Linked DNA regions of Caenorhabditis elegans. The protein of the gene in region 2 purifies or fractionates together with the protein of the main gene of each other region. This does not show direct contact. Each region holds a gene or a part of one and is shown on either strand. Other genes may lie near its edges.

Region 1 (4,633 bases), 7.6 Mb from region 2:
TCTGAGAAGAAGGCCCCAGTCAAGAGAGAAGCTGATAAGCCAAAGACTGAATCTGCTGATTCTGAGAAGAAGGCCCCAGCCAAGAGAGAATCTGATAAGCCAAAGACTGAATCTGCTGATTCTGAGAAGAAGGCCCCAGTCAAGAGAGAAGCTGATAAGCCAAAGACTGAATCTGCTGATTCCGAGAAGAAGGCCCCAGCCAAGAGAGAATCTGATAAGCCAAAGACTGAATCTGCTGATTCTGAGAAGAAGGCCCCAGTCAAGAGAGAAGCTGATAAGCCAAAGACTGAATCTGCTGATTCCGAGAAGAAGGCCCCAACCAAGAGAGAAGCTGATCCACCAAAGACTGAATCTGCTGATTCCGAGAAGAAGGCCCCAGCCAAGAGAGAAGCTGATAAGCCAAAGACTGAATCTGCTGATTCCGAGAAGAAGGCTTCAGCCAAGAGAGAAGCTGATAAGCCAAAGACTGAATCTGCTGATTCTGAGAAGAAGGCCCCAGTCAAGAGAGAAGCTGATAAGCCAAAGACTGAATCTGCTGATTCTGAGAAGAAGGCCCCAGTCAAGAGAGAAGCTGATCCGCCAAAGACTGAATCTGCTGATTCCGAGAAGAAGGCCCCAACCAAGAGAGAAGCTGATCCACCAAAGACTGAATCTGCTGATTCCGAGAAGAAGGCCCCAGCCAAGAGAGAAGCTGATCCACCAAAGACTGAATCTGCTGATTCCGAGAAGAAGGCCCCAGCCAAGAGAGAAGCTGATCCGCCAAAGACTGAATCTGCTGATTCCGAGAAGAAGGCCCCAGCCAAGAGAGAAGCTGATCCACCAAAGACTGAATCTGCTGATTCTGAGAAGAAGGCCCCAGTCAAGAGAGAAGCTGATAAGCCAAAGACTGAATCTGCTGATTCCGAGAAGAAGGCCCCAGCCAAGAGAGAAGCTGATCCACCAAAGACTGAATCTGCTGATTCCGAGAAAAATGCCCCAGCCAAGAGAGAAGCTGATAAGCCAAAGACTGAATCTGCTGATTCCGAGAAGAAGGCCCCAGCCAAGAGAGAAGCTGATCCACCAAAGACTGAATCTGCTGATTCCGAGAAGAAGGCCCCAGCCAAGAGAGAAGCTGATCCGCCAAAGACTGAATCTGCTGATTCCGAGAAGAAGGCCCCAGCCAAGAGAGAAGCTGATCCACCAAAGACTGAATCTGCTGATTCTGAGAAGAAGGCCCCAGTCAAGAGAGAAGCTGATAAGCCAAAGACTGAATCTGCTGATTCCGAGAAGAAGGCCCCAGCCAAGAGAGAAGCTGATCCACCAAAGACTGAATCTGCTGATTCCGAGAAAAATGCCCCAGCCAAGAGAGAAGCTGATAAGCCAAAGACTGAATCTGCTGATTCCGAGAAGAAGGCTTCAGCCAAGAGAGAAGCTGATCCACCAAAGACTGAATCTGCTGATTCTGAGAAGAAGGCCCCAGTCAAGAGAGAAGCTGATAAGCCAAAGACTGAATCTGCTGACAAGGTTCCACTACCACATTAACTCGATATGGAACTTCGACGAGAAAGTATCTTTTGAATTAATAAAAACATGTATGAAATGTTATTGTGCATATAGTTCTGTAATAAACTCATTTTTCACAACTACGTTGTAGTGTTTTCGAAAAATACAAACAAACTAAATTGAAAATAGCTTTTTAATCTATGTTCTCCATTGCTCAGGTTCATTTTCAGTCAGATTCATCATGCTGTTTACATCAAATTTTCAAGAAAACAGCTGTTCTTAACATTTGATTTCCAATCTTTTGGCATCCGATTTCTCCACTCTCCTCGAAGATTTCATATTCAAAAAATGAAGTTTTCATCAACTATTATATTTCTTATTTTTTTACTTGTGCCCTCTTTGAAATGTGCATTCCGGACTGGACATAGACATGACTGGTATGAAAAGAATCGTCTGAAAGTTTCCTGTTTGCAACAGGATGATCCAGTTGGAAGGAATGCAGTTAGTCGGTGCTGGTTCTGGGTTCGTTCTCCATTTGACAATAGAAATAGTTATGAATCTTTCAAATTTTGTTGCGAGAGAATTGAATTACATCAACAATATCGCTAGTTTTGAGCTTCAAAAGTTCAAAATTGCAATTTCGTGTTAACTGTTGTAAGTGTATCGCTGTTGTAACACAACACCCTACATACAGTAATTTAAAAGTAATCTAACTAAATTAAATTCGACCCATAATTATTAAAACAAACAATTCAAAAAGCTCTATAATTTCCATTTTCCAGGAAGGAATGAAATCATGGTTCCGAAGAACATCGATCTCTTGGTATCCCGAACAAACGAAAACGTGGAATATGACAGAATTGACAGCACATTGTGATAAGTATTATGTAAGGTCATGAGTACTTTTCTGGAACCTTATTCTGATGAAAATTGAAATGTTATTGATGAAGTACCGAAATAAATTAACCGCTCCGCGGTTTTTGCACCGACATTAGAAGATATTGTTTTTTTAACAAAGCAATCGTATAAGTACGGAAATTCAACAATGTTTTTGGCTAATTTAAAATGATTGAACAACTAATTTAAATTGAGTCACGTCTTATTTCAGACCTGTATGGAAAATACAAAATGCTACAAGGACTTTGTCCTATTTGAGACATTGGATAGATGCTCTCATGATGCATTCAATATTGGTCCAATGAGCTTTTGCTATTCTACTTTAAGAGATGTTGCAAAGAATTTCCCAGACAAGTTATCGTCTTGCGTGAAGGAACACTTGGATGCGGTGAGTGCATTTATCTGAGTGGGTCTCACCACGATTTGTGCCTAATTTTAGATACTTGCGTAGTTGATGTGGAAAGTGGAGTTTTTGAAATGTCAATTTCTGAAATGTACAGAGAAAACATGAATTTATTATGGAATATTTATCACTTACTGTCACGTTTCCGCAAACGGACGATATTGTAATTTTTCCATTTTCTGATATTTGCACTTAAAAACACACCGATTTATTCGGTAGGTTCTCGCCGCGAGAAAAAATTTGTTATTTGAAATTTTTCTCGTGGCGAGACCCATCCAAATAAACCTGTGCGCCTTCAATTACTCATCACGGTATTTTGAAAATGTTTAATAGTAATTTGTGTATTTTTGTGAAATTCGCAGAATTGAGATCGTGGTGAGACCCAATGAAGCCCCACATTTTCCCAAATTTAAAAAAGCAATTGTAACGTCCTATTTTCAGACTCCGACAAGGAAATGGACTTGCGAGATAGCCCAGGATTTAGGAAATTGTCTTCTACCGGACGTTAAAAATTACTGTGAACCGAATTTTCTACCGATATTTAAAGAGGTTTCCAATATATTTATTCTACATTTAAAATTAAAATCCGTTCCAGCATCAAGATTCTCGTATGTTCAATTTGGGTTGCGATGGGCGATTGAAGTTCAAAGACATGGAAGATTTGAAGGATCACAATGCGACGGATCTAGTTGGAAGTTCTGTAGAAATAGAATAATAAACATTTAATAATTTACAATTCTTCATTTGATCATCACAGAGGGCGCAAGGAAAACAAATGTTTCGGAGACAAGGGAAAATGTTGTGAGGGTTGTATGGAGAATTATATGGGGACAGGGGGGACTACGGTAAGTTATGGGTAGTCTGGGGTGGGAAGGGAGAAAAATAAAATATGAAAAAAGAAAAGGAAGAAAAAACGCGATGAATACCCTAAAAGACACATAGAAAAAAAATTTAAAAAAAGAAGAGTAGTCAATAATCGAATAATAATTATAATAATATTTAAATCAATGGGATATCGAGAAAACTTATAAGATAAGATGGATTGGTTATATCATCGGGGGGAAGGCGCGAAATATGAAACGATGGGTTTGAAAAAGAAAAATGCAATTTGAAGCGGCGACGACGATGAAGACACAAAAATAGAGGTTTTATAAAACAAGGATACGGTAGGGGGACGGGGGGAGCAATCACCTACAACGATGAATTTGAAAATATCCAAAAAAAAAAGAGAAAACCGTACTGGAAGAGGGGGATTGTTGAATTGGGAGGAGGAGACGAATTGAACAGAAGTTAATTTCAGCAATTTTTCACTGAAATCGCTGCTTTTTTCATAAATTTCTGAATTTCAGTTTACAATGACTGATGATGTGTTGGGTGACGAGAGAAGCGAGAATATCGAGACATGGATAAAAACGTGAGGCGGTTAGAGAGAGAGAGTGAAGGGGCGACAAATGAAACATGAAAAGAACAATCATCAATAGGTTCAGCTCTAAAGGTTCAGCTCTTGGGCTATTTTCGAAGCGATATTCTTGAAGCCAATCGATGTTCCCGAGATTCGTTTGAATCGAACTCCATTCAGACTGAGACGTGGCAACTTGCAGACCTGAAAACATTTAGAATTAACTACAGTAACCAGATAGCTGGTGTACTCACCTCCATCTCCCATTGAACAAGTGAGTCTGTATTCGGATCACCGTGCACACACAGAATCATGTATCGTTCCCGTTGCTCGTAGTCACAACCGTTAGCGTCAAGAACTTTTCGAATTTCTCTGAAAAAACGTTATAAGTATATCGAAAACTAGAGTTCGAGAAATCTAAAATTTTCGTTTTTTATTTATTTTTTGAATTT
Region 2 (3,978 bases):
TGCGGTGGAACAACTGAGCATTCTATTGCGGATGGAGCAGAATTTGATCATATTATGGAAAACTTTGTATATGTAGATTTGGAAGTTTTGAAATACAAATCAATTGAAGAGCAAGAGAAAATGGCAGTTATTGAAGAGAATGATAAGAAATCTCTGAAGCTTGCTACTCCATTGAACTTTGAAGTTCCAGATCAAGAGGTAAGCTTCATTTTTTGCCTTACCTTTCAGGTCAAAATAATCATTTTTCAGATGCTCTCCGAGATCACTCGCTGCTACGATGCTCATCAAATCGCCAAGAATGACCTTGACCTGTATGCCCTTGCATTCCGTGATTTTGGAAAAGGACGTATCAAGAAGTGTGGTGTCTCACCAGATGCATTCATTCAAATGGCTATTCAACTTGCCAACTATCGAGATCAAGGCAAATTTGTGCTCACATATGAACCAGCATCAGCTCGATTCTTTGCAAACTCGAGGACCGAAACTTTGAGAACAGTTAACGATCACTCTTGTGAATTTGTGGAAGCTATGTTGAATGCAAATGAAACGGTAAGTTAATTTGAAGTTATTAAGACGATGAAAAATTCAAATTTCAGAAAGAAGCCAAGATTGCTCTTTTGAAAAAAGCTTGTGAAACTCATGTTCTTCGAAACAAGAAGTGTATGGTTGGGCAAGGAGTCGATCGTCATCTCTTTGTTCTGTATATTTTATCTCAAGGAACGGGGATTCAGAGTCCTTTCCTTGACAATTATATTAATCAAAAGTGGAAGCTATCTACCTCACATGTGAGTAATCATTAAAATAAGATGACATAGTGCTATGTATTTGGCAGTTGTATCACGTAACTTTCTAATAATGAGCTGAAGGATTTTAATTCAAACATTTTTCAACAATTGCTTTTTCTGGATTTTCCTAATTATTTTTTTTTTAACTTTACAATTTGAACATATCCTATTCCAGGTTCCAAACGTGACTAATCAATGCGACGAGGACACTGATTCAGACAACACTTGGCTCGGAGCATGCTTCGGAGCAGTCGCTGCTGATGGCTACGGAATCTGCTATCGCTTTGGAGGAAACCACGGAATCTTTGCAAACATCACAAGTTATCATTCCGCTGCCAACACTGATTCAACAAAGTTTGCAAAGTTGCTCTCCGAATCGTTCCACGAACTTTCAAACCTTTTCGTTTGAACCATCCCATTTTGTAACAAACGGTTTTATACCCATAACTTGTACCAATTTGAACTCATTCTGCACTATCATTCTAACCTGTTTCATATATTACTGTCACTCAGTCAATAAAATAATTTTTATTAAATAAAAAATTCTCTCGTGTATGACCCATTCAAAAATCACCTGAAATGACTCATGACCAGTTCACGATCTATGCTCAATTCTTGGTGTACACCAGACTATGACTCATGTAAAACTGGTGAAATGTCAAACAGAGTTTCCGATCAAAAATGGCAATTGTACGAGAATTTCATTTTTGATAGCATCACGTTGTGTGTGCCGATGGAAAGATGATTTTAGCACAAAAACTGCAAAAAACGGTTTTTATAGTGCACCAAAAAAGATGGAAAAAGATCTGAAAATGAATGAAATTGAAACTTAAATCTCTTAAGATTAAATATGAAATTTTGCCAATCTTTTCGGTAGGTTTTTGAAATCATGGAAACAGTTCTGGAAAGTTTGCAAACTTGACTATTTGTTTAGCTGACAAATTGTTGATGTGACTTGAATTCGCACCCTTTTCTAGATGAACTAATCCAAATTAACAAACGTAACGAAACATTTTCGAGGACAACAATCCTTTCATATTCATAACTACAGAAATCTGAACACCTTTTCAAAACATTATTTAACATCTAATTTTTTAAAATTCGTGGCATTTGTATGTAGAATTATGTTGTAAAATGATGTAATGATAGTGAGAAATCATTTAGATCTGTAACCTAAATACAATTTTTATACCCTCTATTAGACAAAACTTGATATTTAAAACTTTTTGTATTTCCAAAATGATGTTCCGTCATGCTGAAAAACAAAATAAACCAACAAAAAATTATGCTTCGAGCTGATTACTTGCAAATTATTAACAGAAACATTTCATTCCTAATCAGACGCAACGATTGAATTTGATTTTTCTTCCCCATCAGTTGAGTAATTACATCCTCTTTCATTGAATTCCAACTTTTAGTCTTATTCAGTTCTTTATTTGCCATTGATTTCCCAAATGTAGAAGTGTGTCTGATACCTCCCATTGATTCTTAGTCTTTAAGCAAATAAAACTCGCCTGATGTCATAGAAATATCGATAAGAGTTTGAATAAAAGTCGTGGCATTTCCTCACTTCTCTATCGGTTCAATCGGTCTTACTATCAACTAACATGCACTCCTATCACAACCCCGTGAGTTTTTGATTTTCTAGAATTTTCCAGTTTGGAAACTTCAAGTTTTCAATAAACCAAATTTCAGGGTGTCCCAACCGCTCTCTCGATCTTCGAGCCACTTCAAGATGGATCCACCATCTCTGTTCACGGACATGTTCGTCACGGACATCACAAGAACTTTGCCGTCGAGCTTTTGAGCGGACCAAATGTTGTTCTTCATGTCAACTTCCGTTTCCATCATGAACACGTCGTTGTCATGAACTCCCAGTTCAGTGGAATGTGGGGACCAGAAATCCGTCACAAAAACCCACTTCACCACTCGGAGCACTTCCACCTTAGCATCAAGGTTCACGCTGGATATTACCATGTAAGTTTTAACGTATTTAATTTTATAGTTAACTGTATTCAATTTCAGATCTCTGTGAACGGTCATCACCTCGCCGACTACCCACATCGTTACCCATACCAATCGGTTCAAGCCATCGGATTGAAGGGAGACGTTCATGTTGACAAGGTTCACTTCGAAGGATTCCACTTCCAACGTCGTTGGGACGGACATGTCGATCATGGACACTCTGGATACAATGCCTATGGAACTGAAACCTATGTTGCTCCAGTGTTTGTTCAGCCAAACTTTATGCCATACGGAGCACCACCACCACCAGTCCAAAACTTCAACCCATACAGATAAATCGGGGATCTTATTTTTTTAATGTATTTTTTGGAATTTTCGACGTTAATTGTCAAGTTGTTTTATAAATTTTGCATGTCTTATGAGTTTTTGTTGATAAAAAATGTTTAAATTTAAAAATCGCTAATGCTCAGAAGCCTTTGCTCTCCATTTTCTTTCAAACGTTCGCAAAGAAAACTGAATTTTAAAACAGTAAGTCAATATTATATTTTTTTTATGTCTGCGTGCCTGCCTCATACCTACTCGCCTACCACTTAATTTATTAATTTGGGAATTGAATAACTATATTCAGATGCTTGCAAAGTGTAGAATTAGTTTTCTGGAAGTTCAACTGGAAATCTATGAAGAATATTTATGTGTATTTTGGCAGGAGGCATGAAGGCCGCCTATTAGGCAGTCAGTCAGGGGGTCTTTTTTTTCATGATACACATGTGTTTGGCATATATTAATTTTTATTAACGAATGCACATAAATCAAATTTCAAAACAAAATAGGATAAAACCAAAAGGTAGTTCGTAAATAAAATAACTGACATCAAAAGTGGATTCTCTTTTCAGATGAGAATATTCAGATAACATTTTTTGTCAAATAAATCATCATATATACAGGAAAGTCACCGATTTAAGTGGAGATATAAAATATTCTCAATATGAGTGGAGAAACAAAAAAGAGAGAGAATGAAACAAATACCTGAACACGGAGATTTTTTTGGGGGGAAAGTTTGGAAGATTTTCGGATATTCGAAAGAAACTGTAGGGTAAGTGATTAATATTGAGTATCTAGTCCTACATTTCTATTTTTAAAAAACAATTTTTTTCTTTTTTGAAATTAAATGTTTAATTTCAGAAATTTAAAATATAAAAACAATCAATCGAATCTACTGGTTTAATTT
Region 3 (4,193 bases), on a different chromosome or scaffold from region 2:
AGGACCACAAGGCCCCACTGGTTACCCTGGAGCTCCTGGAGAACCGGGCTCTCGGGGTCTCGATGGACGTCCAGGAGCCAATGGTGTAACCCTTATAGCTTACGATCAAGAGATTCCAGGTTGCATACAATGTCCCCAGGGTCCACAAGGTCCTCCTGGTGCCGTTGGGCCTTGTGGACCTTCTGGAATTCCCGGGCTCCCAGGGAATCCCGGATACACCTCTCCTCCAGGACTTCCTGGGCCACCGGGGCCTTGTGGTGAAGCTGGACGGGAAGGTCCCAATGGTACACCAGGCCTTAAGGGAGAGCCTGGAAATAACTCGATCCGTCAGATATCCCTACCAGGCCGTAAAGGCCCTCCAGGACTTCCTGGTCAATGCGGACCACCAGGGCCACCTGGATATACACCGCCTCCAGGACCACCAGGAACACCTGGAGTTCAGGGAGAAGCTGGACAGGATGGAGAACCAGGGGTACCTGGAGTTACTGGCTATCCAGGAGTTCGTGGGCCACCGGGGCAGGATGCTGAATATTGTCCGTGTCCACCAAAGAACGCAGGAGTCAATCGGAATAGTTATGTGCAGCCGGCACCAGGTAGGCTACTTTTTTCCATTAAGTAGGCGGGGCTGATATTACGGCCTAAAAAAACTCAAATTTCAAATTTCAACATATTTTTTACAGTGTCCACAAGCTACGCCACAGCATCCCAAAGCCGTTACGTGTCAGAGTACAATAAAGAGGATGAGTACAGGAAACGAGTGCTGGCTCGAGTGCTCAAGAAGCAGAGACGACTACTTTTGGCGACAAGAGCAAAGAATGTTCGCCGGAAGCCTGTTAGTCACGCTAGTCCGTAATTATTTTTATTTTTGTGAAATAAATTTGTATAAACTTTTTCACGGACGTTTCCAGAAAGTATACTGTCCCAAAAATTTTAATTGGGCTTCGCATGGGCCCCGCCCACAAGGCTCGGACAGAAACCCTTTGTGAACGGGAAGATTTTTTTTCTGGAAATTTTAGAATTTTTTCTGAAATTTTCTTTTGGCAAAATTCCTAATGAAATCAGTCATTTTGTGGGTGGAGCTTATGAGTGTAATAGCGAAATTGCTTGAGACCAGGACGAATTTTTTATAAACTTTATTCTTCACAAAATACAAAATACAAATTTCATATATTTATCATTTCTTCTCCGTGCTCTTCAAGAATTCCAGAACCTTTCCGGAAAACCATTTGGGATATTTCAAATAAAAATCGTGTCCTCCTTGTGCATGAATCTCAACTTTTGCCAAACTCTTGAGCACTGGGATGAAGCATACATTCGGGTCACCACAGAACCGGTCCAATCCACCATTCATCACTAGTGTCGGGCATTTGACTTGTGGAAGTACCAGGTCACACGGGAAACGGCCACCGCAGAACGAGTGAACTCTGAAAATTCGTTTGGTTAGGTAGGAAGCAGACGTAGGTCGCCTTGAAGGTAGTTGGCAGACATATTTGTGCCTACAGGAATATACACAACTTCGCATAAGCCCCGCCCACAAAACTCACTGATCTACGACGTCACAAAGTGCCGCCCATTGTGTCCGGAGTGTTTCCGGCGAATAATGGTCCAAATATGGTTGACGACCGGCTGCTAGCCAATGATTTGTTTCACGCATTCCTGAAATTCCAAAAATTAATTTATAAAGAGCACAAAACCAATAGATGGCCACACCCATAAAATGGACGTTCGATTTATTTTCCCATAAAAAATCTTGTAGGTAGGTAGGCATAAATTGCTGCTTCTATGTGGAAAAATGGGCCATATTGGTGTCAAATTAAGAAATTTCATTAAAAAACAGTAATCTTCCAAATATATCTAAATATCTCACCCTTGAAAGCCATGGCTCCTAGATGATTAACTTTTGTTGCACCAGCCATTACAATCATTCGATTCACTTTTTCCTTTCCTTTAGCTGCCACGTGGACCGTTGTTCTAGCACCTTCTGACCACCCCATCACGGTGAACGGCTCTAGTTTCAGGGTCTAAAATTTGGAGGCTTTTTGAAAACGTAAAAATTTTAATTTCAAAATTAAAAGCTCACCTCCATTAACCCTAGGCAATATTCACTATCCTTCATACATCTCTGAACTTCTTGTTTTCGCTCTGGAGGTCTTGAGGTACCGTAACCTGGAGGATCAATCCCAACAATTGTGACCTGATCTGGTGGGAAATGAGAGAGCAATTTGAGTGGCCAATCTTTTTTATAGCAGCCGACAGCACCGCAAATCGCGAGAATGTAGTTCGGACCGTGGCCGTATTTACAGTAACCGATTTGAGTGTCCTTGATGTGTTCCGAACTTTCGATATAGTCGCTTTGAGTCATTTTTCTTTTGCTGAAATTTATTTAGGTGTTTAATTTGTTAATTATGAGGTAGCGACGGTGAGGAAATTTTCCGGATAATATAAATGTTTGAGACACCTTTGTGACCTTTGAGACCGCACACCTTTGAAGTACATCTCCCCGATTTCTTCTATCCTAGAAAGAGACGTAACAAGGGTCAAGGTTCAAATGTATTGCTAAGAGAACGCCTCTTGTGGTGTGGTAGTACTACAGTATTTACAACCTACTAGTACAGTAGGTCGTATATATTGTTATTGTCGATGATTTACAACCACCGGATTGACCTAGAATTAACATAGGTATTTGAAATCGGTTTAGGCCAAATAATTATGGTTCCGCGACATTTATAGAATTCGGAATTTTCTGAAGAGCGAGAACATGTATTGTGAACCTCTACAATATTTAAATACAGAAATGTAGAGTACAAAACATTGTTTTTTGATCGACTTCCAGAATTATGATACGTGAAAACTGATAGTGAATATTAAATTATTCGAAAATCGGACACATGGAATTATTGATCTCAAAAATTCGGTGAAATAGGCTAAAGAGGAAGGAAAACCAAAGAGGAAATTTTAAAAGTGCATGTATTTGAATGACGAATAGTTCTACGAAAAAGATTTTGAAAGTCCGATAGGAATGAGAAATTTGTAGCCTACAGATTAAGATTTCAGAAGGAATTTGGACAAGACCGGATTAATTTTGTGCCTGTAAGCTGCGGAAAGTTCTAGAACCATCTGGAAAATACGAGAAAGTTTTGGAATGTTCTAAAACCTTCTGAAAAATTAGATAGAATTCCGGAATGTTCTAGAACTATCTGGAAAATACGAGAAAATTTTGGAAGGTTCTGGAACCTTCAGAATAATTCGAGAAAATTTTGGAAGATTCTAGAAAGGTAATAAAAATTATTAAAAAAAACATAACCACTAAAACACCGAAACATCTAGTTATTTGTAATATAAATGTGTAGTTTCTAATAAAAAGGAACTATGAAACAGTAAAGTAAACCTTTTGATTTATACTGGGAGAGTATGCAGATTTCAATCTAGGATATGAGGGTAAATAGGGAATAACAGGTGAAAGTGTACAAACGCAGTCGGAGGAAGATGTTGTTAAGATGAAAGAAGAAGGAGAAGAACACAGGCACTTGGACACACAGAGGGAAATAAATGGGAAATGAAAGGGAAAAGGGATATGGAAGAGACAGAAAATTGTTCCTATTGTCTGAAGGTATTGTATAAAACCGCAAAGAGGAAATTGATGATCGAATCATGTGATTTTGCGGGGAGTGCTGAAAGCATTTTTTTCAGATTTGTCAAGCTTGGGTCTTTGATCTTTTAGGACAACACAGTTTTACACATCTGGAACAATGCGGCTTCACCCATGTTGTCGAACACAAATAAATTTTTATGAACCAAATTTAATCAATAAAACTTGAAAATTACAATATTAGAGAAAAACTTGAAGACGATTTTCTCATTTTCCAGTATTCCCTTGTTTCCGTGTCAATGTCCAAGACTCCACTTCCACTGGATCTCCAAGCGGCTCCCATTGATCCGTGAGCTGTCCTTGTCGATCTCTGAATACTCTAGCTCGTCTTAGGATTCTTCTATATACTGTCGCAGGGTACTATGTGTCGCAGTGTTCATTGGGGTCCTGCCGGTTGACAACTTGCACAGGGACTCTATCAAAGTTTTGATCATGAAATACAGGTAGTTGTTGCGCTGTTCCCTGGAAGATTGGATTGATTGAACAATTTTTTTAGCATCACCTTTTTAAAATATCAGTTTTTAACTGGTCGGTTAAAAAATCC

The links. Proteins that work in one complex are often made in the same cells at the same time.
Region 1: the proteins of lec-10 (region 2) and H39E23.2 fractionate together in Caenorhabditis elegans (co-fractionation; one large-scale study listed by BioGRID). This does not show direct contact.
Region 3: the proteins of lec-10 (region 2) and K01A2.5 fractionate together in Caenorhabditis elegans (co-fractionation; one large-scale study listed by BioGRID). This does not show direct contact.

Annotation. Positions count from the first base shown.
Region 1 is NC_003283.11:14,108,531-14,113,163, forward strand, and holds H39E23.2 (T20D4.11-like domain-containing protein), read left to right. Parts: upstream 1-1,811; 5' UTR 1,812-1,830; coding exon 1,831-2,004; intron 2,005-2,264; coding exon 2,265-2,369; intron 2,370-2,590; coding exon 2,591-2,767; intron 2,768-3,223; coding exon 3,224-3,331; intron 3,332-3,377; coding exon 3,378-3,497; 3' UTR 3,498-3,516; downstream 3,517-4,633. Other genes in the region: H39E23.3 (Neurofilament heavy polypeptide-like), read left to right, coding at 1-1,521; Serine/threonine-protein kinase par-1, read right to left, coding at 4,272-4,385, 4,436-4,553.
Region 2 is NC_003283.11:6,487,426-6,491,403, reverse strand, and holds lec-10 (Galectin), read left to right. Parts: upstream 1-2,283; 5' UTR 2,284-2,392; coding exon 2,393-2,413; intron 2,414-2,480; coding exon 2,481-2,762; intron 2,763-2,810; coding exon 2,811-3,086; 3' UTR 3,087-3,201; downstream 3,202-3,978. Other genes in the region: cpt-6 (Choline/carnitine acyltransferase domain-containing protein), read left to right, coding at 1-198, 250-549, 597-785, 961-1,194.
Region 3 is NC_003280.10:300,584-304,776, reverse strand, and holds K01A2.5 (AB hydrolase-1 domain-containing protein), read right to left. Parts: upstream 2,373-4,193; 5' UTR 2,363-2,372; coding exon 2,081-2,362; intron 2,022-2,080; coding exon 1,868-2,021; intron 1,657-1,867; coding exon 1,545-1,656; intron 1,425-1,544; coding exon 1,175-1,424; 3' UTR 1,118-1,174; downstream 1-1,117. Other genes in the region: col-69 (Nematode cuticle collagen N-terminal domain-containing protein), read left to right, coding at 1-593, 681-853; K01A2.6 (AMIN domain-containing protein), read right to left, coding at 4,010-4,111.